Schizosaccharomyces pombe: one gene and its partners. The protein of the gene in region 1 binds, or shares a complex with, the protein of each later gene. Each region holds a gene or a part of one and is shown in the gene's direction. Other genes may lie near its edges.

Region 1 (9,884 bases):
CTATCAGGGTATTGCTAATAATTGATCAAAACCACTGCGATAGTATTTACTTACCCAAAGTAACAATTATTCATCAACCAAGTCACACTTGGTTTATAGTAGCAAGCTATACTGCACGAACAAAACTTTTATAATTGAGAGCGAATTTGTGGAATAGTCAGGCTTGATTTTAATAAATCCCTATTATTATCCTTGATCTCATAAAATTTAAGTTTCTTGGGTTGTGCATTCTTTATAGCACCAATGCCAACTCAGGCTGGTTTTTGTAAATTTGCTGAATTTTCGAACATTTATTAATACAATGGCAATTATTGTGGAAGACGGTTCTTTTATTACATCTTCTCAATGGGAAAATGTAGAGGCATCTCCAAAACCTCCTCCAAGGAAGCCAAAGATTGTTCAACCAAAAAAGAAGCCATCGAAGCACTTGAGCAATGAGGATGCTTTAGAAAAATATGAAATGCTGTTTGGTGAAAGGAGAAAAGAAGTGGAACTAGATTATATGAGCCACATTGCGGAAGAAGAGACTTCGTTGAGCATGATTGAGTATGATCGTCATTTTGCACTTCAAACTGACGTGAAATTGTCAAAGAAAAGAAAATCCAAACTTGTTGAAATGACTCCTAAAGGTTTGAAAAAAAGGAAACGCGTGCAAATACAGGAAGGAAGTGTGTCAACCAATACAAAAAAGCGTATGGACGGTCATGTTGTTGGTTCTAGCGCTCCCGCTATAAATAATGGCAAAGGAAAACAACTTTTAGAAATGATGGGTTGGTCTCGGGGGAAGGGACTTGGTTCTGAAAACCAAGGAATGGTTGATCCGGTTGTGGCTGTTGTAAAAAATAATAAACAGGGTCTTCATTAGTTTTTGACGAGGAGATTTTAAATCCTCATAGTGTATATTTACAAAACATTATTTATTTAGAAGGAAAAATTACTTTTCACCATCATTTTGGGAAAGTTTCTTTTTTATAAAGAATTTTATTTTTGGTTGCTCATCATGATGACTATATAAGAAATAATAATTAAAGGAATTTTACTATATTTTACCGTTGAGGGTACAATCACTTGAAATAATTCAATTTCATAAGTTTTTCATAAAGAGAGCAATAGAAAACTGGTAAGTTGAAAAACAGCTTCTAATTGTTAAAAGGACGGAAATACATATTTGGAAAAGGGGGAAGGAATGAACAATGATGAGTGCATTTACGTTAAAAATGGTTAAGTCGAATAGGTGAAGGACAGACTTATCTTCGAAATGGAAGAAAAAAGGAAAAACAGGATATGAGAAGAGATTCAGTAAGGATTATAAATTTAAGAGAGGAAAAGGCTTCGCATGCGAGTAACATCAAAAGCAAAAAGTGAAAAAAACTGTGTATACCCAGATCGCTGTACTGTAAAGTTTCATTTGGATTCTATTGAATAAAAGCATCAGTTGATCAAACTAAAAAATCGATCAGTTAATATAAACAAAATAAAAAAAAAGAGCATTCTAAACATATTTGAGCGAATGTAATAGAAACGTACTTTTTGGAACTTTGAGTTTCTTACTAGTCATAGCAATTCCACTCAACACAAACAAAACCACAAGCGGGTGAAATGCAAAAGGTGTGTTTCCACACCACTCACCCCAAGGTAGATTTTCATGAGTCTTTCCCTTTAAGATACAAACTCCGCAAACGGTTACTAAGGAGAGGGTGGTAGGAATGGGCGTTCCTTCGAAAAACTGAGACTTGCCAGATCCATCTTTAGGAATGGAATTGACAGAAACATTAAAACGAGCCAATCTAGTTAGACCACACAAAACAAAAAGGGAAAGTATAACGGTATCAAGGAACGTTTGGAATCCACAACAAAAGGCAAAGACGGCTGGAGATACGCCAAATGAAATCTATTTTGTTAGTATAATGATATAAAAAGACCGGATAAGAGAGAGAAAAAATATATATAATCAAGAATTATACGCAATCGCATGTTTATTGAGAAAAATTCAGACTCATTGAACAAACCGACATAATGTAAAAAACGAGAAGCAAAAAAAAAAAGCTCGACTTAGCTAAAATGAAGAAAAAATTCAACCAAAGAAGCCTCTTATCATGTTCCTCGTGTTTTTATCATGTCAAAGCAACCAATGTGAAAATAGTCTCGGAACAGATTTGAGAAGTTATACATACCAGATCAGCAAGACTATCCAATTCCTGACCCATTAAGGAAGATTTCCCACGCCAACGAGCCACTTTACCATCCAAAAAGTCAAAAAACAACGCAAATGGCATAAAGTACATTGCATTCCATAAATGGAAAGCTGATTGCTGTCCGCTTAGGCAGTAACGTAAACTTGAAAATATACTCATGACACCGCAAAACCCGTTCATTAAAGTAATCAAGTCTGCAAGGTGGAGGGCTCTACAATCCTCTAGTTAGTATTTCAAGTAATGAATCCTTTTGCAAAGTCCTTTCGCAATGGTGTAAACAAGAATACGTAAATCATACCTAATGAGTGAAAAATGTCTATTATCATTTACGTAGGCCAGTAACTTGTTCTCTTTATCATTGCTTTGGTTTGATGCATCGGATTGTAATTTCAATCCAGGAGAAACTCGTGATCTAACCATCTTCCAAAATTGGCAGTTTCTGGTTCTAATTGTACCTGTTTATTTACCGGAAGTCGAATAACTAACAAAAATAAGGCACCGCAGGGTATCGTTATGGTTGTGATTGAGAATTGTCTAGAAATGCTTAGCGATCCAGGCTTTGGAATTCTTATCAATCTTTTAATGTTTATTTATTAGCATCGTTAAAACAGCATTGTGCGTTCTGTTATTTGAATAAAAGTCGAAAAAGCTAATCAATGAATATAAAACGAGCGAAGTGTTTAAACTATTTTCCAAGCTAAATATGGTGGTTTGTGGTTTTGAATTACATGAAGAAAATAAGAAGAGGGAACGTACCACCGCTGATAGGGGATGCGGCAATTTGTTGTATGATCCAGATATGTGTGCATAAGGCAGTAGAAGGCATCGAAGCAAGATGATTAAAAACCGAGTAATGAATGACCTTTGACAGTGTATATAGTACGTCTCATTTAAAATTCCAAGTTGGACCCAACTCAAAAAGAAACAAATATCACGATCACATTAAGGGCCATTTTTCATCTAACTTTCTATTGTTATTCGACTGGCAAAAAATTGGGCTGTTGTGGGAATCGAACCCACGACCACCATCACCCTAAGATGGTATCATACCACTAGACCAAACGGCCACTATTGTTAAGTAAAAAATTTTATTATATAGAAAGTAAACATGAACTAGCTTATGTTTTTTTTGGAGCTTTTAGCATTGAACAGTACTTTGGTATGCACTATTTATGTAAATACTAGCAAGACCTTGAATTAAAACAGAATGTATTTCCTTTAAATTTTCTATTATTCATAGCTTGATAGTTAAGAACATTCATAACTAACTAAATATGGATTCCTATAATTTTATGTTCTACTATTTAATCTGGTAACAAAGCATCGAATGCGCACTTTTGAGTATTGTTTTAAACTTTTCAAACATCAACTTAAACACTCTGTTTTTTTTTGTACAATTTCTCTTAATAAGATAAAGTTAGATAACATCTTCTGTTCAGTTAAACTTTGAATCGTTTACAAGTACATGCTCATCGTTAACAGAAACCCGAAGAGTTTGGTAAGAGGATATTGTAAAAAAGATATTGTACTTCGTAATTTAGATGGTTGGCTATTTGATATGATCACAATTTCAACCATTTTTAAACTCTACAATCAAATTTGTTCACTTTCCTCCACTGACCGAAAAAAAACCTCAATATCTAATAAACTGCAGCAGGAATTTTGCATTATGGATATAAACAAAGTTGGCAGAAATTTTATTTCTTTAGGAAAAATACGATCAAGTAAGAGGAGAAACGCTATTTTGTCATACCAAACGATCATTAGTTCATTCCCTCATAATCATGTACAAAAACTTTTTCAAAGAACTCAATCAACAAATATGATTTATACCAAGTTAGAATATTTCGGTCATTCTTTGTTCTTTTATTTTACGGCATTTACGCTCTCGTTCAAGGATAGAAAAATCTTAATGCAAGCCGATGTATTTTTTAGACTAAAGCTCGTATTCAAGATAGCATTCTTTTTCACTCAAACAACTTTTTTAAATAAAAAAGAAAATAGGGAATTGTAGGTTTATGGATCATCAAACAAAGGAATACAGTAAACGGACTGCAGCAAAACTAAAGGTTTTTTAGAAAAAAAAAAGATGCATATTTTGTTCACTGAAAAAAAGTAATTTTAAAAGCGTTTTTGCTTAATTAGAAGGAGGTGAATAATCTTGTTTGTGCGCTTCCTTAATGTTTTCCGGGGATGACTCGTGATGAAGTTCTTTAAGCGCTTTTTGAATATCGGAAGAAATTGTTTCCAGCTGTTTTGACCGCATGTCGTACGAATAGATTACTTTGTTGTTTGAGATAATGGAAAATGTTGGAGTTTGATCGTTCGGTAAACGGTGATTAACGTTAAACTTCAAGCCGTAATTGTTGTAATACAATGAAGGAAGACATTCTTTTACAAATTTTCTAGAATTTAAAACGTTAGCAATGAACAACGCATGAAACGGAATCGTAGATCAGTGCTTCCTCACACAAAGTATTATCAAGCAGTTATTTGAGAGAATTAAACATGAATTGAGCATAAAATGTTTGAGGTACCAGTACATAGACAACATCGATGATTCTAACACGAATAAACAAAACTTACTTAGCACCCATATGTCCCAAACGGCTGTCTAAAGAATATTGAATAGATACTTCCTGAATATGTTTTGGTAAAGGAATCCCTAAAGCTCCAGCACGAATCTTGTGCAAAGATTTTTGTAATTTACCGCCTATGCTAGACATGGCGAAAATGTAAAGTTGTAGTAATAATCAGCCAAACAAAAATGAAAGAGTTTGAAACAATATGTTTTTATTCAAATATTCTGTCGGGATGAACAGAGAATATAAATATTAATGAATTAAGCCTAATGCCGTAGATTCGTACTCTCTTGTCAATTGTTGCTTGCTCTCTTTAAAAGCGAGTTCCTTGATCTCGCATTTAACGTAGTTTAGTGTGTCCTTATGCTAAATAAGGGATCACCTAACAGTGCGGAATGGGAGAAATGAGTATGAAATTCTGCAACAAGCATAGACCAAACGACACATTCTCATTATGGATTCAGAAACGCATATTACGATACGAAATATAAGTAAAAACTCGGTGGATTTTGTCCTTACAAATACAAGTTTGGCGTAAGTGAAAAGCTCTAGGAAATTCCTTCTAATAGTTGAAAGAGTTGCAAACTCGCTGCGACGTGTTGTACTTGCAGAGATTCCAACAGTGGGTAAGATTTAGGTTCATTCTTGAATTAAATACTAATGATGTTTTAGCCATTGACCTAGTTGAAATTAATGTGAATACCTCAGTCATGCCTGATGAGTTTCTAGCACATCGTCTTGGTATGATACCTCTGGATAGCTCCAACATCGATGAACCGCCTCCAGTAGGTTTGGAATATACGCGCAATTGCGATTGCGATCAGTATTGTCCCAAGTGTTCAGTCGAGTTGTTCCTAAATGCCAAATGTACTGGTGAGGGTACGATGGAAATTTATGCTAGAGATCTTGTTGTTTCTTCTAACTCTTCTCTTGGACACCCTATTCTCGCCGATCCAAAATCACGCGGACCGCTTATTTGCAAACTCAGAAAAGAGCAGGAAATTTCTCTGCGTTGCATTGCCAAGAAGGGTATAGCTAAAGAACATGCTAAGTGGTCACCTACTTCAGCTGTTGCATTTGAATACGATCCATGGAACAAGTTACAGCATACTGATTACTGGTTTGAGAATGATGCAGATGCAGAGTGGCCAAAAAGCAAAAATGCCGATTGGGAAGAACCACCGCGGGAAGGCGAACCATTCAACTTCCAAGAGGAACCGCGTCGGTTTTATATGGATGTCGAAAGTGTCGGTTCTATACCACCCAATGAAATAATGGTTCAAGGTTTACGAATTCTTCAGGAAAAGCTTGCAGTTTTAGTTCGTGATCTCGACGAAGAGCAGCCTACTCAACTTTCTGCTAACGAACTGAATATGGAGGAGAATGCAGAAATGAACTGGTCTCCCTATCAAAATGGTGAAGAAAACACGTGGTAGACTATGCTTCAATTCTTTTCTAAAAATTATCCATTTTCATCCTTTATATGTTTGTTGTTATAAAAAATACTCTAGATGCGTTTTTTTAATCATCTAAAAGTTTTTAATTTATGGCCTGCGTCCGTTCATGTCATACCTTACACATTTTTATCTAATCCTTTTTTTTTTGGCTTTTGGCTACAACATATTGTACGTATTGATATGCATATATAGAGATATATATTCCTCCCTCATATCATAATTTTGTTCTTCTTCACTTGGATTTATTATAGCTTTAGATAATTTCGTGAAAGAGAACACTTTCGGAATTGTCGTTTTGATATCTTTTTAATTTTCGGTGATTGCCTCTTGAACTCTTTGTTGGAAAGTTTATATCGGCTCACCATGCTCACAATGAATAGACAAAGTTGCTACAAGTGGACAACGAGATTACAGAATACAATTTTTTATAACGATGTTTTATTCGTTTACCAAAAATAAAGACAACAAAAAAGTTTTTAAAAACCTCAACACTTTAAAATAACATGTACAACGAGAACCGAAAGCGTCTCCTTTACTTTTATGCTGAAGAGTTTTCTTCTTCAGCGTATAATTTTTCGGTTTCCTCAATTGCAGTAACATTTGAACGTAGTTTGTTTAAAGTTTCCACGTACTCATCTTGTTCATCTGAATCAAACACAATACCACCACCGGCTTGCAAATAAACAGTTCCGTCTTTATAAACCATTGTACGGATTGCTATACAAGTATCCATGTTGTCATCTTCATAGCCCCAACGACCTACGGCTCCCGCGTATATACCACGCTTTTCTTTCTCTAATCCATAAACGAGCTGAATTGCACGGACTTTGGGAGACCCACTGACCGTTCCAGCCGGAAATATACTACGGAATGCATCAAAACGAGTTTTATCAGGTCTCAGAACACCAGAAACTTGAGAAACAAGATGCTGAACATGAGAAAACTTTTCAATAGTCATCAACTTGTCAACACTTGTTGTGTCGAGATCACAGACACGACTGACATCGTTTCTTGCCAAGTCCACCAGCATTACATGTTCAGCTCTATCCTTGACACTAGCAAGTAAATCCTTGGCATATGCCTCATCCTCTTCTTTAGTTTTTCCTCTTGGAACAGTTCCGGCAATGGGATGATTGATAATACGCCCATGCTCTGATTTAACCAGTAATTCAGGGGAAGCACCGATTATGTCGAAATCATCACAGTGGATGTAGAACATATAAGGGGACGGGTTAACTGTTCTTAAATGGCGGTACAAATTAAAAGGATGTAAATCTGTACGCCTAGCAATCCGTTGGCTTGGGACAGCTTGGAAAATATCGCCATTAAAGATATGTTCCTTGAGGTTGGAAACAAATGCTTTATACCCGTCTTCGCCTACATTTGACTTAGCTTCGTATCCTAAATGGACCTTCTTTTGCTCAGGCAAAGGAATTTCAGGACTTTCAAGTTTCTTTTTAAGCATATTGATTTTGAAAACGGCAGCTTCGTAAGCCTCTTCAATGGGTCGGCCTTGCTGAATGCAAACATGAGAAATTATCTTGACAGTCTGATAAGCATGATCGAAAGCGACTAAATCGTCGGTCATGAAAAACATAGCCTCCGGAAGACCCAAGGTATCTTCTAAAGGCATTTCAGTAGTGGGTTCAAAATATTTGATGCAATCATAAGAAACATAGCCCACAGCACCTCCACTGAAAGATGGCAGACCCTCAACAGGGGCTGTTTTAACTTCTTTCAACTCACGTTCTAAACGTGCCAAAGGATCTGTTTTTCCATTGGCCATTAATATTCTATAAGGGCTGCCAATAAAACTGTATCTTGAGACACTCTCTCCTTGAGTGACACTTTCTAAAATAAACGAATACTTCTTTCCTTGATTAAGCTTCAAGTAGGCTACTGAAGGAGTCAGCATATCGGCAGGGATTACTCCATAAATGGGAATCTTGTTAGCCTTGTGCTTTTCAGCAAGCTCTTGAACTTGTTTCAAGTCAGGATAAATCTAAAATAGTATTAGTATCATGTATTAATTTTAAGCTTCATAGCCCTAGAAACGGCGACTTTTACAGTTAAAAGCAATACAACAAAGGAAAGACCCAATCCTAAACTCGTCAATATATCCCAATACTACTATTTATTTTCCATAGGTTGGGTCTCCTTGTTAGAACAAAAAAAATCAAATTACCTTCATCTTATTGACAAGTCTATACTCGAATAAGTGCAAATTCAATAGCAAACCAAAAAAATCCCTTAAACTTGAACCGATCTATTTCCAGAAAGACAAGCAATTCCAAATTTTTCTGTAAGCGAAGAAAGAAAACAAAAGAACCAATTAATTCAACAACGTAAAGCTGCTGGAAGAAGACAACTTGTGAAAGTTGGAAAATTCATCTAAATTAGATGAAAAATATAACGGATGCGTTGGAAAACGTTATATGGTTAAATGTAAATAAAAGACTGGAAATAGGAATTAGGAAGTTATATTTAACTGCGGACAAACCGATAAAAGTATTTTGTTTTAGGATAAGATTTATTTTTTTCCTAAGCTCTTAGGCAAATTCTTAAAATGGCCAAAGTTTCGTCGAACATAAACTGCAATCTAGTTAAGATCTTGATTTCTTTTTTTTTTATTTTATTTATCTAGTCTCCTTGGTTTGATTTAAAAATGTTAAAAATAAAAGGCATTCGTTTAGATGAAAAGGGTGTGTATGTTAGCTAGAAAGTTGCAGACCTGAATAGAGGAGAAGACACTGTGTAAAAGTCCTCTACAAAATCTATGAAATTTCGTGAATCATGCGCTTATAATATTCAGAAATTGAAAAGAGGAACAACGATTATAACGAAAGAGAACTAAGAGGATTTAGGCGTTGGAATTGGTATAAGAGAATACATGACTCGCTATTAGGGCAATTCAGAATAATGTTATATTTATGCTAACAAATTTATAAATTTAATAGAGTCGACTACCCTTAGGATTTGAAGTGCGTCTTATACCGAAACGATCGAAGTGAATTAAAGTGATTGCTTGTTTAAGTGCAATTGAACAGTCAAGGCTAGTCATCTATAAATCTGAACAGTTCAACTTAATAAGCAAAAAGTAATGTTATTCGATCAAGGATTTTTCGTCTTGTGAATGATCTTGCAAGTTAATAAAAACGGAGATGAAACTCTCGAACGTATAAAAACAATCAATCGCTGGTTAAATTCAATCTTTTAGCAAAAAAGGATTTTAATTGTATAATGTATTCAATCGGGAAAAGCAAAAGAGGGTCTTTCACGCGGCACTATTTTTTTGCCTGAAAATAAATAAGTAAATAGAACAGTATCCTAAAAACAGTTTATTCAAATCCTTTTTAAACGAGTATAGGAATCTTGTTTGTTATATATTGGATCTCTGTCAGTTCAAATTCATGTTATTAAGTAGAATAAATACCTCTTTCACTTCACTCAATAAACGCAGATGCAAAAAGAAAATAGGAAAAATAGTATAGGATAAAGGTAAGATCGCACTGTTATTAAACAGTTATTTTACTTCTACAGTGTTGATTCCTCATGATTTCAAGTTAAGATATTGTCGTACAAAATCCCGATTCGGGGAATTGAGCTTCACTTAGATTGCAAGCAACGGAAGATCATGTTTTTGCTGAAAG
Region 2 (6,640 bases), on another chromosome or scaffold:
TTAACAATATTGCTAATTTTTTCGAACCTGTGAGCATCAGTGGCAGGATTGGACTCAGAAGAATAAGAAGAAATAACCAAAAATGTTGTTCTTTCAAATAATATTACCTCAGCAGCCTCAGCAGCTTTGGCAAATTCCCGGAGATGCGATTCCAAAGTAGGCGTATTAGGAATCAAAGTATAGACAATAGCAGACCATGCTTTGAATAATGTTTCATCCCAAATAGAAGTAGCTAAACAAGTGGTTTCAAGATCCTTACTTGTTTCTAACAAAATTGCCTTACGTTCCTCAAAAACTAAATCACGTAGATCTTCCTGAACTAAATCCATCTTGTGTATTAAACAAAATACACGAGCTTGGGGACTATTGGCCACTGTTGCTTCTAGACAATTACGAAAAGTTACTAAATCTCTTTCAAATTCTCTTGACTCAACATCGAAAACATAGATAAGTACTTGAACGTTTCTGAATATGTGATCACGCTGGGCAGATAAATAGTTTTCCATGAACGCCTCCTGTCCACCGCAATCCCATAGGTTCAAAACTAAATTTCCCAAGAACCTTACATGCGAATGTTCAATATCAATTGTAGCACCTAGCCTTCTCGTGTCCTTGGCAACATAATTGCTAAAAACTATGCTTCTCATTGAACTTTTGCCGCTGCCACTGCGGCCCATTAACAGGACTTTTTTTCTCATTTTTTCTAGAATAACAGAACTATCTTGAGATTAAGGGTAAAGCAATTAGTTTATAAAATTCTACAAAACAGCTGTCACTGCAATTGTGAGTGAATTCGTGTTTTTATGCGTTCTTTTTTAAAATCACAAGCAAAGAAAAAGTAAAAAAATAAGAAAGGGAGAAATGTAGGTAAAGGAATGCGAAAAGATTCTATAATATCCCGCAGACAGAAAAGTTTAAGTTGATTAGTGGTACAACGACATGCACTTCAGTCGATTACATCGTAAAGTTACGAAGTCTGTTTTCCTTAACCTACATATTAAAAATCAAATTCAAAGTCAAATTGTGAGAATTAAAATTAAAATAAAAATAAATTTACAAATTTATAAAAAACAAACATATAAATCAAGAACGAATGGTTCATCTCAGAATTAAGCACAGTAAAAATAGAAATAACCCCTTTAAAAGAATGTAACGTATTTTCAAATGAATATAACGAAATTAGTAGAAGAATCCTCATATCTGAGGTTTTTAAGGCGCATTAACGTTTAGCTATACGAAGTCTCTAAAGCAAAGACTTGAGAATAATTTTAATAGAAAGCTCTTTGGTTTTAACGAGAAAATACTCCAAAACCCTGGCGTCGTTAAGCTAGACAAATGATTAAGAAATATCAATAAAATAAATTTTTCTTAGACATCTCCGTACATCTCGGTAAATTCATAATGTTATTAAGAACAATCGTTATTTAGTTTTAAGATAAATATAAAATATCGTTATTATTAGCAGCGGCTATAGAAATGCTGCAATCAAGGACGCGATTTTTAGACACGAAGCAACAGCAAGAAAGCTGGTTGTTGTGCATAAAGAGCATTCTGACATTATTTTTGGGAATACATTTGTATAATAGTTATTGATTTAATTAGATAAAAAGAAAAAACAACATTCTGAAGAGAGTGTTTGCGAGCATCTATTCATAATGCCGAGGGCTATTTTTGAGGAAGATGCTGCACAATTAAAACTTGGTCCAGGTTGGATTTGAATTTTATTCTGTTGCTAATATAAAAAGAGTTTGAGAATGAGGATATGTTGACGGTTTCAGAGGCCAAAATCCTTATTGAAACAGTTCTGGCACAACGAGCACGCGAAACTAATGGTGAGATTCCAATGACTGAGTATGTCTTATTGTATGCATATTCTTTTTTAATTAACTAGGATAGTGTGATGAAAAAAACAGTAGCTTACTTCAATGTTTTTGCTCGGTTTAAAACGGCTGAAGCCACTTATGCATGTGAAAGGTACATAATTTCAAAGAATTGAATAGAATTTTAGAGGAAAATAGCCGTATGCAAATATTTGACTAACCTCATAGAATTCTTGGTAATCGATTCCATAAATTTGAACGTGCACAATTGGGAACACTCTGCTGCGAAGACGCTGAAGAGGCTAGGACCTTGATTCCTAGTCTCGCGAATAAAATTGATGACCAAAATCTTCAAGGCATCTTGGATGAGCTTTCCACTTTGCGTAAATTTCAAGATTAATGCAATAAATAGATCTCAGGCAAGTCTGTTTATTGTCAATTATGAAAACTTAAAAGGTTTCCGGTCTTATAAACTATTAGCTATATCAGGATTTATAATACGACGTTTTTGTCATTATTATTCCATAATTTATGAGGGGTCATAAAACTTTTTTTAACAAAATCTATGTTTTTTTATGCACCATACACTTCTTAATTAGTCTATTAAAAAAATATAATACAAACACTGAATACACGCGAAAAGGAATTTAGATAAAATGTATTAATTAGATTAAGTAAGTTTTAACAAGGATCATACTATTGTGAAGCAAGAAAAACTAAACATTTTGAATCAAATGGGCGTTCTTTGCTTCATAAAGGACTAGCAAGTTGAGTTTGAGGCAGGAAAACTTGAAGTATTTAAAATCGTTTACACATCCAGATAGCCGCTTTGCAACCCATTTGAATGGCATTGGTAAGCAATGCATGAGCTGGAGCTTCCTTTGCGTTCCAACCTTCGACTGCAGTGTTCAAATGCTCTAGCTCGTCATCTCGAAACTCTGCCAAATGGCTACGAATCTCTTTAAATTCTGGAGCTTTATTTTCCAAATGAGCCGTTTCACGTAGTTGGTCGTTATAGTGTCCGCCAATTACCGTTTCTACTGCCTCTGTACAAGCCATAGCTGCTTTGGTTCCAAGCAAAGCAGTTCCTGCTCCCAACGCAAATCCAGCGATGTCCCAGAAAGGACGTAAAAAGGTAGGACGGACTCTATTCTTTAAGACATAATTATCAAATGTTGCGAGATGGTACTTTTCTTGATCCCACATATGCTGAATGGTAGGTGCGACTTTGGGATCGGTAAATTGAAGGATAAAGTGCTGACCTTTGTAAATTTGATTAGCGCCTAATTCACCTGCTTGATCGACACGAATGACGCTGTCCAAAATATTTGAGTCTTTCTCGCTCAGTTCTTTACGGCCCATCGAAATTCTACGGCATGTTATAGAGGAGCGAAGAAAAGGAGAAACCGACTTGGTAGCAATGGGTATTAACTGTCTACGTGACAACATCTTTTGTAATGGTAAAAAGGCCTGAAATTACACAGAGTTATCAATTTTCAAAACGAAATTTTACTAATCAACAATAAACCAATATTTCTAATTCACTAATAGATTGAAATATTCGACGAAAGAGACTATGATGTTGATTGGGTGTGGAGGATTAGAATGTGAAGTTCTCTACCAAACCGAACGTTTTAGGCGGAAATGCTTAGTTGAGTAACACGTTAGGCTTGAGGTGTATTTCATATCAATCTCTGAACAAATCTGCAAAATTCAAGCTAGATGGTTAAGTTAAGAAGGAATTAAATTTAAGTGATTTGATGTTCACTCTATTTTTATGGAATAAAATATTCGATAAACTTGTCGTTTATTCTTTTGCTTGATTAACGCAGTGAATACCAGTTGCTTCAACTTTATTTTTAAGTCAAAATGAAAAATACATACTTAGTTTTTAAACTAAGAGATTCAATAAACAGTGGCGTAATTTCAGGAAAGAAGCAATGTATCATTTTTTTCCTTAGCTAAATGGCTTTGCTACAGTTTCATAGTGTTCGTCAATCTTGACGGATATAGAAGTTCAATAATAAAATGCTTCTTATAAACAATAAAAAAAAAAAACATATTTAAGCTGCAGTTTTAAAGTAAACTCCAATTTCCTATCTTTTTTCCAACCAATTCAACTCAACATTGTATTTTCGCTTAAAAAACTTTAAATTAATTACTAGTTCAACCGAAGGGGAATCCGAAGATATACAAATTTCCAGTATTACTGATATAACAAGTACAAGTAGAGACTCAAAGACACCCCATCACAATTAATTTTTGACTTGCTTAATAATTCAAGAATGTAATTTGGCATTATGGATTAATTTTCTTTGTTATAGAAAAAAAGCTCCAGAACCACACCCACCTCCCCCATCGAAAATTTACAATTTGAAATATGCGAAATCAATCATTTCTTTCCTTTTTCTAATTTAATCTTTTAAACACAAATGAGTACTTATGTTTTTCAGGCCTTCTCTCATTATTTTATAAAATAGCAATATCGTTAAATTCCGTTGTATCAAAGACGTCGTTTGAATGAGCTTGATTCTTTACCCCAAACCAACTTCGTATTTATATCAACCTTTTATAAAAGCATATTTTTCGCTAAACATGGCCATTTTTGAAATCAATAATTCTTTTTTAATTTGTGCTGTATCTATTGCTTTGAACCCTCTGCTATGGAATATTGCTGCACGTTCAGAATACAATCATAAGACTTTGACCAAATTGGCAAATGGCGACTCTAAGAAGGCCTGTTACATGCTAGCAGCTTGTATTTTTGTTGCCGGAATAGTTCGTGACTTAATTTATCAGAATGCTTTAAAACAACAACCTACGCTAGGTATCTTCATGAACCCTCTTGTGCAGGGTATAGCTAAGCTCATTTTTTGTTTTGGCAGCGTCCTTGTCTTATCGAGTATGTATAAGCTAGGACTTGTTGGTACATATCTTGGTGATTACTTTGGATTTCTGCTTCCAGAGCGTGTTTCTGGTTTCCCATTTAATGTCAACGATAACCCAATGTACAACGGTTCTACTCTTTGTTTCCTTTCTACAGCTCTGCGTTATGGAAAAGTTGCTGGCCTCCTTTTAACTTTGGAAGTCTTTTTCGTTTATAGAATAGCTTTGAAATTTGAAGAGTAAGTTGCCAACTGTTTAAATTTTTAAATTTTTCTTTACTCTAACCATTAATAGACCTTTTACTGCTAAAATTTACGCTGCTCGTGATAGCAAGCAAGCTAAAAAATCCGAGTGAAGCAGCTGATTTGAAGTGGCCATAAGTTAAAGCTTCATTAGAGTTTTTTATAAAAAAAAAAAAAAAAGGAACAATTTTAAATGGAATGTTCTGTTCATGACTAGTCCTTACCTTTACTAACGCTCCTCCTTTAACCGATTTTGCCCTATGTACTTTGACGACTTCAACGTCTGTATAATTATGCATAGTTTAACGCTTTTTTTTTCAAATTATTTAAGTGTGTTGATCGCGGTCTCAACACCATGATCCGATATTTTTATATTCATACTTATGTAAAAAATAATCTAATATTTTACACCATGTAAATTAACGTGCTTTCATTCTAAAATCAAATAAAATTCAAAACAAATATATTAGCAAACCAAAAAAACCCCGTTTTGACCAATTTATATGTACAAAATCAAACTCTATAAATCCAATCGTTCAAGAGGAAAAACAGAGTACAATTTCTAATTTATTTTCCAGAACGTTTAATAGATTTGACAATGCGATCAAGTTCTTGACGTTGATCTCCTTTTTCAGCTTTACGCTTTTTGATTTTAAGCTCAGGCTTACCGTCTTGTGTTTGTTCCAATTGATTTGAGCGTCTTTTACGACTTTCGTCCATAATTTTTTCCACCGTTTTAGTACGTTTGAAATGAGGATTTGTTGGATCAAGTGCAAAATTATGGTTAGTATATAGAGCAGCAAAACGTGGGTCACTGACATCAGCTTCGAATCCTTCCTGCAAGCCTTCCAAATTGGAGGCTTTTTTCTTAAGCTTGCGATTCTTCTTAAACTTTTCAGCCTTCAGTATACTCTTCATGTCAAAATGATCGAGCTGCTCAGAATCGTTTTCATCTTCACGAACAAGGTTTTCCAGTTCTTCTTTAGACGCGGCCGTAGGATCTTCAATTTGAGTATGCTTGCCCTTTTTGTTTTTCTTATTGTTACGACTAGCATCCTTGTCCTTAAAGAATGGATCATCAAAACCAAGATCAACGTCGGATCCTTCACCTTCATCGTCTTTTGTTTTCTTAAGCTGTCTCAATTCTTTCCGTCTTTGTTTTCTTTCAGCGGCCTTACGCTTGTATTTTTCAATAGTGGTTTCATCTTTTTCCGAAGAGTTCGCATTGTTATCAACATCAAAACCTGAAGTAAAAGTAACCTCCATCTCACCATTGGCGCCTTCAAGTTTGTCATCATCCTCAAAAGGGTTACTATTCGCTTGGAAGTCATCAGCATCACCACTTAATAACTTTTGGTAACGAGAACGAATAACATCTACATCCTCATCTTCAGATTCACTTGAGGCAATGTAAGCGCTAAAGTCTAAATCTTCAATATCCTGAGAAGTAAAAGCCTTTTTAATTAAATCCTTTCTGTGTGGATCCTCAGCATCCCACGAAAGTTTAACTTTTGAATGTTGCAATGCATCGGTGACAAAATCTCTCGGCTCATATTTTTCGGGCGCTTTAGTACATACTTCGCGAGATTCATCGTCGTCAAATGTAACATCATCTGGAATGAATCTTAAATCGTAAATATTAGCGCTAGTTTCATACTCAGCGCCATCACAAGTTTCGTATATAACCTTTGC
Region 3 (7,043 bases), on another chromosome or scaffold:
ACCGAAGCAGACTCAAGCGGTAATCTACTGTTTTTTGGGAAAATTGCAGGTCACTAAAAATCCTTTGATCTTTCTGAATCAAATAGAATGAAGAAAGAGATAAAATGACATCGTTAGAGCATGTAATAGCCGAAGTTGGCTTTGAAAAACGAAGTAAACGAATTGTCAATGTCAATAATACTAATGGGTATTCATTGACATGATTTAGACAAATCTGGAGAAGGGCCAAATTTTCAGAACAAGGTATCCTTTTTTCGCCTATAGATATGAAAGCAAGGAGAAATCTTTTTCGCAAAGGTTGATTTGCTTCAACGTACTGGCTTACTAAGGCTTCAAGAGGTAGTATGGCTTGCGCGTTATTGTTGAGCCTAGTCATAATGTGGTTTGCAATTGAAATTGTTTTGTTTCTCACACTTTCATGAGGCGAATCGAGTTTTAGTAAAATCGGACATAAAAAAACTGACACAAGCGATTGAAAGGAGTCCTCGCTTTCCGCTAGAGCGAGCTTCAGCTCTGCATTGTTTAATAATCTCAATTCATTTTCAGCCATTATTGTAGAGTTAATTATAATCACTAATAAAAAAACACTCTACAATAAAATACCAAACAAAGATGAATAAAGAGATATATATCAGAAAGCAAGTAATTAAAAAAAAGTCCCAAATTGACTTTACACTTAATTGATAGAACAAGGCATAAATAAAATCTACAATTTTGGATGTGTGTGTTGTATTTCGTAGGTTAAAAGGCTGACTAACAGCATGCGACTTAAGGAAGTGAATCAGTGATGAGGTTATTGAGGTCAGCAGAAGGAGGAGGTGCGGAAAATTTAGGAATATCTTTATGAGCTTTTTTACTTTTTGATACGATTAAAGTTTCTTCATCTACATCTGAAGAAGAATCCGAGGAATCATCAACGTCGGATGTATTTTTTTGACCGTGCTGTAATAAGGCATTCGTGATCGTAGGAAACGCCAATCCAATTCGAGAAATTCGATTTAAAAAAGAAGGGATAGGGCTGCCCGTAAGTTCAATTGCTGCAGCATTCGTGAAATGATTGCAATTTCTCTCTAATAAAGAATATGATAACCCCGTAAATTCTTGACTCAAACGAATCAAAATTCTATCCACGTCGGGTTTAGGGAGGGTACAATTAGGTAAAGCAATAGAACAGCGCCATCTACACCCTTCTAAAGGCGGTCTTGGCATGGTAGCAAACACACCGGTGGAGCCAGGAATTTCGTGTGCTCCGAACGCATATTCTTTACCTTCTAAAACCAATCCTGTATGGTAAATACCAAGTCCAAGAGTCCATGCTAGTTTGTTTACCGGACTGTCTGGCATTAGATCATACACATTAATGTATACTTTCATATTCGAATACGTTCGGATGGCGAAGAACAACTTGCAAATTTCCTTGGTCCTCCTTAAGCAGGTTGAATTTTAAGATTCGATACCTGTACAATTAAGTATTTTTAATAAAAAAAAGTAGAGTCGAATTAAGGATAAAAATTTAAAATACGGGAGCTGTTTATGGTGGTGATTTTGTTTACATCGGTACGACTATGACAATGTTAAAATAATCAAAACATAGTACGTTTCTTCAATATTGAATACCTTTAGCTAAATTCACTACGATAGCAATCGCAATGAAATGGGTTTAATTGCATACAACGTTCTAAAAAGTTAATGAAATATAATCTCGCTGTTCGAATACGCATATTATTAGTAATGTAACAGAATTGCAAGCTTAAACAGAGGAATCATTGAATGAAACTAAGTCACAACGCTTTAATACAACTAGATAACGAAACTAGCTTTAAAGAGGAAACAGAAGTACTAACCCAAGAATTTTATATACAAATCCATGTTTGGAACCAGGATATTTAATAGCACAAAATGAATTTGCTAGTATCATTTACCCAGGCCAGAAGCAGTCTTGGTTGCTTGTTCTATACCACGTGCGATTGTGCTTCGAATTTTTCCATCTTCCAATGCCAACAAACCACTAATTGTACATCCGGCAGGAGTTGAAACATCATTACGAATCATAGCAGGATGTTGACCTTGTAAAACCATACGACCTGTACCAACCATAGTTTGGGCAGCCAATTCCTGAGCCTGAGGGAACGGAATACCCATCATTACACCACCATCTGTCATAGCCTCAATCATAGTAGCAACAAAAGCAGGTCCACTTCCACATACAGCGGTAGCAGCATCAATAAGCTTTTCGGGAAGTTTCATTGAACGTCCAATGCCATTGAATACCCATTCAGCAAACTTTATGTCTTCTTCAGTTGCGTTGGGTCCCGGGCAAATTACGCTCATACTTTCACGGATTCGACTAGCAGTATTGGGCATAATGCGAATCACCCTAGTACTTTCATCAAGCATACTTTGCAATGAAGAGATGGTCTTGCCAGCCAAAATTGACAAAATTAATTTTCCTTTGAGCGCTTCTTTCATCTTTGGGGAATTCAAAACATCCTCTGCGGCCTGAGGCTTACAACTCAACAACAAAACGTTACTAATCGCAGCCATCTCGGCATTCTCTTTGGCCCCCATTACAACTTTAACACGATCTCCGAAAAGCTTTTGAACATCCTCTTTTTCTTTAGGAAATTTGACACAAGCATAGAACTTATTCGGAATGATAATTTCGTCAGAAACATCGTTTCCATTTTCAGCAATGGAATCAAAGATTCCAGTCAAAAGTGCTTTTCCCATTGTACCACAACCAAGAACACAAAACCCCGACATTTTTTAAAGTTATGCTTAAAAATGTTTAACTATTTTTGTAGTCTTCTTTTAAAGCGAAAATAAATTCGACTAAAGCATATGCTAAGGGATCGTTAATTCCAAAATCAAACTCATACTGTAAATTACCGTTTTACTCGCTGATGTGCATAATGTAAGATACTGAAGTATGATGTTACAAGTTTGTAGGACTAGTCCATGTTTGAATAATGCTACACGTTAAAGTCAATATATCTTCTATATAATTAGTAATATTAAGTATATCGCAAATAAATTTTAAAGCAGCTACACAGTTTTTAACGAAATCTTGTAGAGACGTTGTAGATAAACAAAAGCTTTTTCGAACTTATAGATGTGAACCATCAGGACGCTGTTGTCCACTGTATTTTCCATATCCACTAACCACCACGTTCTTTTGAAAGTTTATTGCGTTGAAGTAAAATACTTTTGTTTGCTTTTTTAAAATGTCAAATTTTCAATATTGTATAGAATGCAATAATATGCTGTACGGATTAGTTTCTCAAAAAGATGACACTGAAAATTGTTTGAAAACACTAACATGAAATAAATAGGTACCCTAGAGAGGATAAAGTGGATCGTGTTCTGAGGCTAGCTTGTCGTAATTGTGATTACTCAGAGGTAAGCTTGTTTTTTTCTCCTACTGGGTTTATTCACTTCAAGAAAAAAATTCGAAGTTCTTTTCGATTACTTTTTTCCTCATCATTTGGAAGTTTTAAATATCTCATCAGCTAATTTGTATAGATCGCTGCTACTAGTAAAGTTTATCGCCATGAGTTACAAAGCTCCAATGTGTAAGTTAGATTTCATCCTTCGAATAATCACTAAATTTGTAGAGAAAACACGACGGTCAGTCACGACGCTTCAACGGACCCTACTTTACCTAGATCAGACAAAGAATGCCCGCGTTGTCATCAACATGAAGCAGTTTTTTATCAGACTCATTCTCGTCGGGGTGATACTATGATGGTGTGTTTCGCATTGTTTCATTGAGAAAACAATTTTAATATTTAGGTTTAAAAACAATTTTACTGACTTAATTAGACTCTGATTTATGTTTGCGTACATTGTGGATTTGCTTTTGAAGAACAGTAATATGCGACAATTCGGTCTAACAAGGGATTGTAAAACTAGCTGCGTCCACCAATGGCTCTTAGACTTCGGTTTAAATGATCCGCTTGATGTAACCACTCTCTCGCTTCTGTGCTGGAAAACTGGATTTTCGAGTGATACCAGCCACCTTTGCCGAAAATGGATTTACCAGCCTCTCAATCATATGCTCGCCTCCTTCCTTTATATTAAGCAACGCGCCTACCAAAACACTTGAATTTCTTTATTTCACATTCGGTGTACCTTCTGGAATATACTGAAACTGTTTCAGTTATTTGTATACAATAATCCATACGGAATAGCCTTGTAATCCGAATACCAATTAAATAAAAACCCTTAATTCTTTGTGCCTTTATTTTTTTTTATATTCTAATTTCAGCAGAGCTGTTAAATTCCAAGGCTTTCCATAATGTTGATGACTGCTTCTCAACAGGATCAGCATGCTAAAATGTATTTAGCTGACATCCATAGAGCATTGAGAATTCCTTCTCCCATCCCAAGTACTGATTACGAATGTTCTGACTATGCCTCTACAATCGCATCGATATCTCGAGAAAGTACAATGAGAAATTTTAATCGCAGTAACATCTCGTCTACGGCCCCTTCTTTTGCTGAATCTGAGGATGCTGAAGATGGCGATAGTTTCCCTTATGATCAAACGTTATCAAATTCTTCCAGTTTTGATGATCATCAGTCTCTTCTTCCTTTTTCTACAGAAGTTCGTAGGACCCCAACTTACTCTGTCATGAATGAAACGGATAGTAGTAGTACAAGTGTTGAAGACGTAAACAAAGAGAACATACTGTCATTGAACGATTCATGTTTGATCAAATTATCTGATGATGAGGCTTCAAATAAAAGCAGTCGTAGCTCGACTCCACGCAACTCGATAAAGAGTAATTCATCTAACCAGGGCCATGGCGACATACCAATTCCTAAAAAAAATCCTGCTCGTTCCGTTTGTAATTCAAAGCTTTTTAACGAGGACACATTGCCAGCTGAATTTGAAGAAGTTTCAATTTCACCACCTGTCAAACTTGAGTTACCTACTCACTCTCATAATTCATCTGACACTAGTTTTACGAACAGTATAGTTAGCAGTGTTAGTGACATGGTTGGTCTTGGCGAAGGTATAAACAGTATTGCATCTTTTGGTTTCTCTGAAGATTCGTCCTCGTTCCAAGATATAAAGACACCTCCTCGCTTATCATTCGCAGATGAGAACCGAGAGAATTGTAGGACTGATATCTACCGTTCAGATTCTATTCATGAATACGAAGAGCCACTTACGAGCTCCATCACCTCTTTAGATTCCCCTCATGTTCTTGACGAAAATGCTCCGATACCGCTTCTTCCAAAAGTGGTTTCTTTACCAGATCCTCGCTTTACAAATGTTCTTTCAGCCTTTGACGCTTTGACTAGGACATATTTGCTACGACAGAATTCTAAAGTTGTACATGCCACTAGTCAGAAACAAGAAATGCAAACTTCGCGGCGCGTTGTCAATTCTTGTTATATGCCAGAATCGTTATCGCGAAATTTGTCCAGTAGTTTGCAACAAACCGGCGGGAGTGGAAGATTGTTTGTCCGTCTTATGGAAATCAGAAACTTAACTATTCCTTTGGCATCGGGGATGACCACTAGGTTCACTTATACAATCTCTGGTAAGCACATTCAAGTACCATGGAACGCCTTACACTCTACTACTAAAATTGAAAATGAGTATACTTTTGATGAAAGTATTAGTTCTTCAATTGTATGTACGCTCCGTGCGGCTTACGATCCACCTAAGGTTCGCACTCGTTCTACACTTGGAAAAGTATTTTCAACAAATAAGAGAAAGTCTATGACTACCGACCCCGTTTCAGAAGCACTTCATGGATTTGTTTCTGAAGATGGAACTTTCGGCGAAGTTACCATTAACACTGATTCTGTAAGCCGAACCGCACTAGGCCGTTGTCAATCTATGGTTCTACCAATCATGAACAAATGGACTGTTGATCCGGCAGCTAAAGATGTCAAGCCTCTCCCTCGAAAAGTAGGAGAACTCGAAATCCACGTATTTTTCTTACCAGCGCTTCCTGTCTCTCTGAAAGAACTTCCCGCTTCAATCGAGTCTGCCATGTATGACTTAAAGCTTGCTGAATGGGATAGAACTTTATTGTGTGATGGTTATCTATGTCAACAAGGTGGGGATTGCCCTTATTGGCGTCGTCGCTATTTTCAATTAATAGGATCAAAGTTAGTAGCTTTTCAACAATTCTCTAAAGTTCGCAGAGCAACGATTGATTTGTCTGAAGCCACACATATCGTGGATGACAACCATTATAGTGATGAAGAAGAACTAGAAGGGTATCTGTATTTCGAATCGGGTTTCCGTATCATTTTCAGTAATGGGGACTACATCGATTTTTACGCTGAAACCGTCGGCGAAAAAGATGAGTGGATGTCTACACTTCGTCAGCATTTGGGGCAATGTTCAATGGTTCACAAAAATTGGACCAAATCATTTCTTTCGCTGAGTTTTTAAATTGACCATTTGCTTCGACCTCACTTTTTCTATTTAAATCACATTTGGTCTTTATCTTCTCCTTTATCTATATCGTCTTGCATTTTTCATTGGTTTTGTTGTTTCCCTCGCATAATACATAATGTTCATTTTATCTACCATCGAGAAGCTAGATTCGGTTGAAATGAGCTCGTTTTATATAAGCTGTTAAAAATCGGATAGCAATTACTTACTACTCCCCATGTATATTTATACTTCAGTTGCAAAATACTTCATTTTTGAAAGTTTCCCTTGATCCGAAGAAACGTTGTCAAAATAAGTTGTCTCAAAACGTTTATCTTGGCTTTGTAAATAAATCAAATTCCTTAAAATACTCTAGCTTGGCGTTGTCGAGTGAATTTATTAAGTCGTAAGCTTGCCATTTGAGAAACTTCAAAAAATAAAAATTCCACAATAATTTAATTACATTATTCTGTAAATAATTAATACCGTAATTGCTATATAGTTCAAATACCATTTTTAGCTGTTTCGCAATATCTAAAACGTATATGAGATCACTTTTTTTCATTGTCTAGCGTTTTTGTACTTCAGTTAATAACTGTTTGAATTAATAGTTTCGTTCATATTTTGCTGTCTTTTGAAATTT
Region 4 (6,804 bases), on another chromosome or scaffold:
GTGAACAATCAATAGGGATACTAATTTATCCCATATTTCTAATTTTGTGTTTTTTATACATAGAGGAACACCAAAAATAACTTTTTTTTAAATCACTCTGTGTTCAATGTAGCTATTTGCGTTCCCAAACTCTCCATAGGTTCACCAACGGCCATTTTAGAAAATGTGTTATATATCGCTTGCATATTTACAGGTGAATTTGAAGGAACGTTGAACAAATTATGAATCATGTCAGTCGTAAGACGCTTATAATGTAAACCTTGACTACCGGATATCGGGTTTTCCAAATTCAAAAGAGGAACATTGCGTTTTTGGAAATCACCAAGTAGAGACCTCGAAGTATTATCGATAGATAACTGTGCTGATGGTATTTTCGTAGTCAAATCACCTGCATATACATGTATAATTGACTTATTGTCAAGAACAACAAAACCGCCATGAAGATAATGAAGAGCTACTGGTAAAGTCTTAAAGATATGTATGGATTGAATTTTAGGAGAATCAGGACTAAAAATAATAAGACGCGAGTAAGATGAATTAAAATCAATGACGGCAAAATCATTTCCAGATGAAGAGCTGGCCAAAAGACCAGTAAACTTTGAAGCCAGAGTCCATTGAACAGATGCAGATATAACATTCCAAACAAGTAAACGCCTTTGAGAGATAATTACACAATGTTCAGCATTTAAAAATTGAGCATTTTCCAATTGTCCTCCATGAGGAAGATCCACCGTCGATATTTCCTCCAACGTTTCTGAGTTTATGAAATGCATACAGGATCCGTATCCAAATCCGATAATTGAATCATCGAGAGAGCATGTAAGAGCTTTGGAAAACCCGTAACGTTGCTTTATAGAAGCCTGAGAATGCGTATTTGCAAAATGATGGATCGCAACGCATTTCCAAGCGGAAGATCCAGGTAACAGCGCCCATATACGAAGTGTAGCATCAGTTCCAACGGTAATAAATCTATTAGAGCTTGTCATCATCTTAAGGGCAGTTACAACTTCTAAGTTTCCATGAGGATTGTCGATTCTAGTCATCAAGACCCATGTCTTTTGAACAGAGTCAAACTGCCAAAATTTCAAAGCAGTTTGTTTTACATTCCGCTGCTGTTCATCGATAATATTAGTGCACCAAGTGTCGATGGTGGCAATGTATAAACCATTCCTAGACGACGTGACAGCAACAGAACCAACATGACCATTATCCAAACTTGTCGCATCATCTGAATTCTTTGATACTGAAGAATAAGAATACCTTGCAGCTTCAAATTTACGAATTGTGGAATCTTTAGTTAGATCATATTCTTGTACTGAAACAGAGTGACCATTAAAGGAAGAGCTAGACATCAGTAAAAGCTCACCATTGGGACTCACAGAGGAAAATTGAACAAGTCCTTGGAGCTGCTTTGAAGTGTTTTTTGGACCAGTACTAGTTAGATATTTACTTTCAAATGAATTTATTCCACTGACGTGAATTTGCTCAGCTAAATCAACTGCACGAATAACAACTAAAGAGTTGTCTCCCAAATGCAAAGCATACGAATCAGAATCATGAGAAGTAGCTATTGAGAGAATAGATGATCCCAATCGAGGTAAGAATTGTCGATGAGACGTCTCCATTTGCCATAAGACAAGAACACCTTCTTGACCACCAGAGAGTAGATATTCACCGTTCAATGCCCAAGATAAACCATTCAATGGATTTGCGTGCCAATGAAGGATTTGAGGATTAAACTTCTCATTGCTAATGTCATTAATAACATGAATTTTCCCTTCATCATCAGAAACAGCACAGGCTGAACCACATAAGGAAACATTAGTAAGTTTCTGTGGCATATTGAACAGATGTTCACGATGAATCCATCTTTGGCTCCTTTTCTTTTTAGGAACGTTCAAAGAAAAAATTGCTTTGTCAGTAGTAATGACTGCTACCGTGGCTAAATTGTTATCTCTGAGACTGCTGTCGAGAGCTAAAAACTCGTTGAACTTAGAGACAAATGTTGGAATCAATATAGAACTGCCTTCTTTAGAAGTGGAGGGGGAAAGGGCATAAAGAGTAAATCGATCTTGTGAAGAAGCAGAGTCTGAAGCAGGAGTATCGGTTACAGCAAACAATAGCTTTCCGGAAAAAGAAGCTGCATGGACACGAGTGGAAATCTCCATGGTGCGCAAAAGTTCAGAATTCGACCAGTCATGAACACAGACGTATCCGCTTTGAAAAATCACATATAGCTCAAATGCATTCTCAGGAGACAATAATACAGCTACGGGTAATAAATTGGCCAAATTATTGGGAAAGAAAATTCGATTGATACAATCTCCTGTAATCAAAGAGAAAATTCCAATAAAAGTATCATAAGTAAGAAATACAAATCTAAAAATTAGTAAAAATAACTTAAAAACTGAAAAATACTAGAAAAGCAGCGGCAAGTACAGACAGGAATGAAATTCTTACAGATCATTTCGTGTTATATATTTCAATTAAGAAAATTGAGCAAAAGCAGTCTGTTCAAGGCTACCCAACCTTTAATAAAAAAAAACATACTTGTTATCATTAGAGTAAACTGCAGGGATCTTTGAAACCAAACGACCCCCTAAATATGCAGTTTTAGACCAAGGGTCTTTATCATTTTTTTTGACCTCCAATGAACCAACTTCCATAGAATTAGGCCCTTCCATAATTTTTATTCCTCCAACGAAAAATAATAAAACCGGTTGGAATTAAAACGCAATGGTGGTTGGTTAAAGCCAAATACTTGGTTGTAGCATAAAACTTTTCCTGGCGAACACACCTCCTTCCAATACGCACGGTTACCTTCCCTTTGCCAACAACACTAACAAAGTCAAGAAGGCGACGGGTGTTCAAAGTTAGAAAAATGATCATTCCTATTCGCTGCTTTTCTTGTGGAAAGGTAAGGAAACAAATTGCTATTTATAGGAGGTGGTTGAACGCGATTCACATTTTTTATGGATCGGTAGAAAAATTTCACAATTGCTTCGTGTATTGTATATAGTTTAAGATTAGCCTAAGTTGAAGCATTAGATTATAGTTTTTTTGGTATTAGATTTAGTTTAAAAATAGCCCCATTTTCGCTACTGATTCCAACGAGGACTGATCCACTTTTGGGGCGATTATACATATGTTTGTATATTACGAACGCTTATTTCTATTTGTTCAAAGAATTTCTATCTATTATTTTTTTAATTATTTGCTTGCTAATACAGCAGGTTATTGGTGACAAGTGGGACACCTATCTCACACTCCTTCAAGAGGATAACACAGAGGGTGAGGCATTGGATAAACTTGGCCTTCAACGTTATTGTTGTCGTCGTATGATTCTTACTCATGTCGACTTAATCGAAAAGCTACTTTGCTATAATCGTAAGTTTCATCATAATGATTAATCTGCGAACAACTTAGGAACAAAACTAACTAAGTGTTTAGCGTTGTCAAAACAAAAGAATCTTTAATCGGTTAGCCACGCTTGAAAGAATGTGAGGTTTATACTTGAGATTAGGCCGAGAAGCCTGGATTGTTGCAGAATTTCAATTAGTTTTACATCATTGCTCAAGCACACCGACCGATCATTTAATTATTCACTTTTTCATTTCGTACCCATAGATTCCAAATAACGCGCAAATTTTGGCTTTTCTTCATGATTCTTCTGACATTTTGACTTTGATTATATGCTTGTGTGCTTTGTGACAGTTCAATAGAGGCTTGGACATAGGATAGTCAATTTGCATTTATTTTTTTATTTTTTTCTCTATGTTCATATAATCATTCTGTAAGCTGATGTTGGATGGTTAGTTTTGTTACAGTACAGAACTGAATTTTTAGGTGTAGATATGTAGATGCAAGAACTTAGAGTTATAGTTTCATTGCCAATCAAGTGAAGTTGCATATTACGTCCTTTAGAAATTCATTTTCCTCTTAACATTTTAATCAGAAGTTAATAAATAATATTTTTGGTGTTGTCTACATTTGTTAGTGCTACGTGATCCAGAGCATCATACCAATATCGGAGCCTACGAGCTTGAAATGTCAAGAAGAGAACAATTGAAAGCCAAAAATTCTATTTATTATTATGGACAAAGAATCATATGACTATTTGGTAAAGATTGTACTTGCAGGTCCTTCGGGAACTGGCAAATCCTGCTTGTTACAGAGATTTGTTAAGAATCAATGTAAGTACATGCAAATTTAACAATGTTCAAGTTTTTAATGGAAATTAGGGGATGATCAAGTATCACATACTGTTGGAATCGATTTCGCAAGTCGGATTATAAGTGTTGGAATGGGAAACCAGCAAAAAAGAATCAAGTTACAAATATGGGATACTGCTGGTCAGGAAAAGTTTCGAAGCGTGGCTAGGAATTACTATCGTGGAGCAGCAGGTGCTGTTTTAGTCTATGATGTGACAAACAAGGACTCGTTTGAAGAATTGTCGTCTTGGCTGTCTGATATTCGAGCTATGGCTCCATCAACAATATGTGTTGTATTGGCTGGTAGCAAATCTGATTTACAAAACCAACGACAAGTCTCTACTGAAGAGGCAGCTGAGTTTTGCTCAGAAAAGCATATATCTAGTGCGCATGAAACTAGTTCTTATACAGGAAGCAACGTTGAAGAGTGTTTTCTTTCCGTTGTCTCCACCATAATAACTAGGATTGAGTTGGGTGAAATTGATCCCCAAGATCAATCCTTAGGTATACAATATGGTGATTTAAGTTTCCGTAGACCGGTTCACCCTTCCAGTACTTCGAATTGGTGGACTTCAATTACGAATTGGGACGACCTGGTCCGTTTGGAAAGACAGACCAGATCCTATTGCTGCTGAAAAAAACAGTTATTCAATTATTTATTATTAAATTATCATACGTGTATTATTTTTAAGTTTATGAGGATATTTTCATGATATTTCGAAAGCTCTTCTCAACTTAAACACAGTTTGATGATTGATACATCTATATAATTATGACCATATTTACTGAAGGAAGATGTTAGAGTATAGAGCTGCATTTAACAAAGAGAATTAAATAATTTATTTGAATAATCGCACTTTAAATAAGTCCGATAAGGATCATTTACAAAAGGGTAAATTTACTATAGAAGTTTTGCTTTATGAAGCGCATATATAGAAGTCATCAATTGATTCAATTCATTACAAACGAATAAGGCCAATTACTCAGTCCGTAAAGTCCATATGGGTTTTATTGTTCGTCTTTTGGACCCTCCAAATCAACGGGTTCTTTTAAATTCAATCTATCCAAATTCGCATTGCCCCCATGAGAGAATGGTCTAGGACTATATTGTATTAGAATTAATATTAAAAAATTTTGAGAGCATACTTTACAGGAAAACCAGCAGGCCCACGAAGGGGAGGCATGCCATGACTTTCGGTTTCCCGCAATGCATTCCTTAGGTCCGTTTGTTTTTCAGATTTACTACGATTATCACCAGTAGAATGATCTGTATTGGAATTAGAACTCATTTTTTATGTGTTTGGTTCTTGGTAAGTAACGATTACTGCGTTGGTTTCACATCGTCTGTTCCACGTCAAACTTATAACCTGACATCAACATAACATATCCATAAATTGGCAGTCTTCGCTCTTTTCATAATCTTTTTAAAAAAAACCAATTAAGTTTTGTTATTTAAGATCAAGAAGATTTACTCCAAGTTGGTATGGTTGCCTGATTTATTCCGCCATTCAATCCTACATTGTTATAGTTGTTTTGAAGGTGCGGGCTAACAATAACAAAAGCTTTTATTTTCCCATTTTGAGCATTTCATATTTTGTGAATGCTTTGCCTTTCTCGCTTTTGTGATAACTTACACTTGCATTGTTCCACTGTTAGTTTAGACGCGTTTGTTGTTGGAAGTCATTGAAAGAAAAGCTCCGGTAAATTTATCAATAAAAACGTTACACTTTTGTTGCTGTAAAATTCGTCTCAAGCGGGTAAATTTGCCCTGTTTTCAGTTACAACTGTCATTGTTAACTTGTACATATCATTATTAAATTATGGGGGTTTCGGTTCTGACGTTTCACGTTAGTTTATTTTTGAAAAGAATCTTAAGCATAGCATTTTTTTTGCTTTCTTTGTCTACCTTATTGCGTATCGTGAATGCACAACAATATGTAGACAACAACATAGGATCCATGGTATTGAGCGACTACGATTTCGCAGAAACTCCATCTGTGAGAGTTCAGCGGGCTTTGGAAATTCTTAGATATTATTATGAGCAGGAAGACGTAACGTATGAAGAGATTATTATTCAAAGAAACCATGCAATTGAGTTGCTAAGATCCGCATCTCATGATAATAACACGGATGCCATGCTTTATCTCGCAAACATTGAATTTTTTGGTCTTTTTGAAATTATTCCCGAAATTGAAGATTCCGTCAAGTATTATGATATGCTACAAAAAGCGAATGGTAGTGCATTTGCTAATAATATGATGGGATTTTTTTACTCCACTAGTTTTAGTGAGTATGCCTCTAACAACCCAGCATTAGCTAGGATACATTGGGAGTTAGCAGCAAAGCAAGGCTCTTTAGACGCTCATCAATTTCTGGCGTACCATAATTTAATCGCTTTAAATATGCCTCAATCGGATGAGGAAGCTGTGAAGCATTACAAATTTATTTCTGACCACTTATTTGAAGAAGAATGTGGTTCCAATGTAACCTATTTAAAGTGTATATGGCCTGAAATTCAGGATTATAATTTTGCCGGTGAAAACGGTATGGGTGTGTACGGTGCTGCTTCTGCTTATACCTATTCTGATGCCTA

What was found.
Region 2: rpb3 (region 1) and rpb4 share a complex: the UniProt entries of both Schizosaccharomyces pombe proteins name them as parts of the RNA polymerase II (Pol II) complex.
Region 3: rpb3 (region 1) and rpb9 share a complex: the UniProt entries of both Schizosaccharomyces pombe proteins name them as parts of the RNA polymerase II (Pol II) complex.
Region 4: the proteins of rpb3 (region 1) and rpb10 are in contact, whole or in part, in a crystal structure (PDB 3H0G), measured with the Schizosaccharomyces pombe proteins. Residues at the interface, in NP_588324.1 of Schizosaccharomyces pombe: Val56 (codon at 5,485), Met57 (codon at 5,488), Phe61 (codon at 5,500), Arg65 (codon at 5,512), Met68 (codon at 5,521), Ile69 (codon at 5,524), Pro70 (codon at 5,527), Thr114 (codon at 5,659), Glu116 (codon at 5,665), Tyr118 (codon at 5,671), Ala136 (codon at 5,725), Asp137 (codon at 5,728), Ser140 (codon at 5,737), Gly142 (codon at 5,743), Pro143 (codon at 5,746), Leu144 (codon at 5,749), Ile145 (codon at 5,752), Lys147 (codon at 5,758), Leu148 (codon at 5,761), Arg149 (codon at 5,764), Lys150 (codon at 5,767), Gln152 (codon at 5,773), Ala169 (codon at 5,824), Lys170 (codon at 5,827), Ser172 (codon at 5,833), Ser175 (codon at 5,842), Ala176 (codon at 5,845), Glu234 (codon at 6,019), Val236 (codon at 6,025); in NP_594797.1 of Schizosaccharomyces pombe: Met1 (codon at 2,882), Ile2 (codon at 2,885), Ile3 (codon at 2,888), Pro4 (codon at 2,891), Ile5 (codon at 2,894), Arg6 (codon at 2,897), Cys10 (codon at 2,909), Gly11 (codon at 2,912), Lys12 (codon at 2,915), Val13 (codon at 3,234), Gly15 (codon at 3,240), Asp16 (codon at 3,243), Asp19 (codon at 3,252), Arg42 (codon at 3,321), Asp54 (codon at 3,357), Ile56 (codon at 3,363), Glu57 (codon at 3,366), Leu59 (codon at 3,372), Leu60 (codon at 3,375), Cys61 (codon at 3,378), Asn63 (codon at 3,384), Pro64 (codon at 3,387).

Annotation. Positions count from the first base shown.
Region 1 is NC_003421.2:1,782,327-1,792,210, reverse strand, and holds rpb3 (DNA-directed RNA polymerase II complex subunit Rpb3), read left to right. Parts: upstream 1-5,212; 5' UTR 5,213-5,231; coding exon 5,232-5,311; exon of another isoform or gene 5,312-5,353; coding exon 5,354-5,403; exon of another isoform or gene 5,404-5,449; coding exon 5,450-6,213; 3' UTR 6,214-6,772; coding exon of another isoform or gene 6,773-8,236; 3' UTR 8,237-8,419; coding exon of another isoform or gene 8,420-8,425; 3' UTR 8,426-9,314; downstream 9,315-9,884. Other genes in the region: sqs2 (G-patch type RNA-binding protein), read left to right, coding at 302-865; CDP-diacylglycerol-serine O-phosphatidyltransferase Pps1, read right to left, coding at 1,440-1,444, 1,528-1,891, 2,175-2,406, 2,494-2,615; SPOM_SPCC1442.11C (uncharacterized protein), read left to right, coding at 3,661-4,209; mrp49 (mitochondrial 54S ribosomal protein mL61), read right to left, coding at 4,333-4,600, 4,782-4,921; trp3 (anthranilate synthase component I), read right to left, coding at 6,773-8,236, 8,420-8,425. UniProt on the Schizosaccharomyces pombe protein: DNA-dependent RNA polymerase catalyzes the transcription of DNA into RNA using the four ribonucleoside triphosphates as substrates. Component of RNA polymerase II which synthesizes mRNA precursors and many functional non-coding RNAs.
Region 2 is NC_003423.3:1,054,007-1,060,646, forward strand, and holds rpb4 (DNA-directed RNA polymerase II complex subunit Rpb4), read left to right. Parts: upstream 1-1,502; 5' UTR 1,503-1,655; coding exon 1,656-1,707; intron 1,708-1,745; coding exon 1,746-1,851; intron 1,852-1,896; coding exon 1,897-1,974; intron 1,975-2,048; coding exon 2,049-2,220; 3' UTR 2,221-2,496; downstream 2,497-6,640. Other genes in the region: Gtr1/RagA G protein Gtr1, read right to left, coding at 1-698; ubiquinone biosynthesis protein Coq7, read right to left, coding at 2,619-3,269; cho1 (putative phosphatidyl-N-methylethanolamine N-methyltransferase), read left to right, coding at 4,416-4,945, 5,001-5,061; pre-rRNA processing protein Esf1, read right to left, coding at 5,516-6,640. UniProt on the Schizosaccharomyces pombe protein: DNA-dependent RNA polymerase catalyzes the transcription of DNA into RNA using the four ribonucleoside triphosphates as substrates. Component of RNA polymerase II which synthesizes mRNA precursors and many functional non-coding RNAs.
Region 3 is NC_003424.3:4,748,514-4,755,556, reverse strand, and holds rpb9 (DNA-directed RNA polymerase II complex TFIIS subunit Rpb9), read left to right. Parts: upstream 1-3,151; 5' UTR 3,152-3,224; coding exon 3,225-3,265; exon of another isoform or gene 3,266-3,332; coding exon 3,333-3,399; exon of another isoform or gene 3,400-3,522; coding exon 3,523-3,572; exon of another isoform or gene 3,573-3,614; coding exon 3,615-3,747; exon of another isoform or gene 3,748-3,822; coding exon 3,823-3,873; 3' UTR 3,874-4,167; downstream 4,168-7,043. Other genes in the region: proteasome assembly chaperone Ecm29, read right to left, coding at 1-550; sdu1 (PPPDE peptidase family protein), read right to left, coding at 769-1,374; pro3 (delta-1-pyrroline-5-carboxylate reductase), read right to left, coding at 1,915-2,763; mid2 (septin ring organizing protein), read left to right, coding at 4,298-6,418. UniProt on the Schizosaccharomyces pombe protein: DNA-dependent RNA polymerase catalyzes the transcription of DNA into RNA using the four ribonucleoside triphosphates as substrates. Component of RNA polymerase II which synthesizes mRNA precursors and many functional non-coding RNAs.
Region 4 is NC_003424.3:4,947,312-4,954,115, reverse strand, and holds rpb10 (DNA-directed RNA polymerase subunit Rpb10), read left to right. Parts: upstream 1-2,829; 5' UTR 2,830-2,881; coding exon 2,882-2,917; intron 2,918-3,198; exon of another isoform or gene 3,199-3,233; coding exon 3,234-3,387; exon of another isoform or gene 3,388-3,450; coding exon 3,451-3,476; 3' UTR 3,477-3,775; downstream 3,776-6,804. Other genes in the region: U3 snoRNP-associated protein Nan1, read right to left, coding at 93-2,379, 2,551-2,684; GTPase Ypt4, read left to right, coding at 4,094-4,193, 4,242-4,846; SPOM_SPAC1B3.20 (uncharacterized protein), read right to left, coding at 5,220-5,313, 5,358-5,500; protein Hrd302, read left to right, coding at 6,032-6,804. UniProt on the Schizosaccharomyces pombe protein: DNA-dependent RNA polymerase catalyzes the transcription of DNA into RNA using the four ribonucleoside triphosphates as substrates.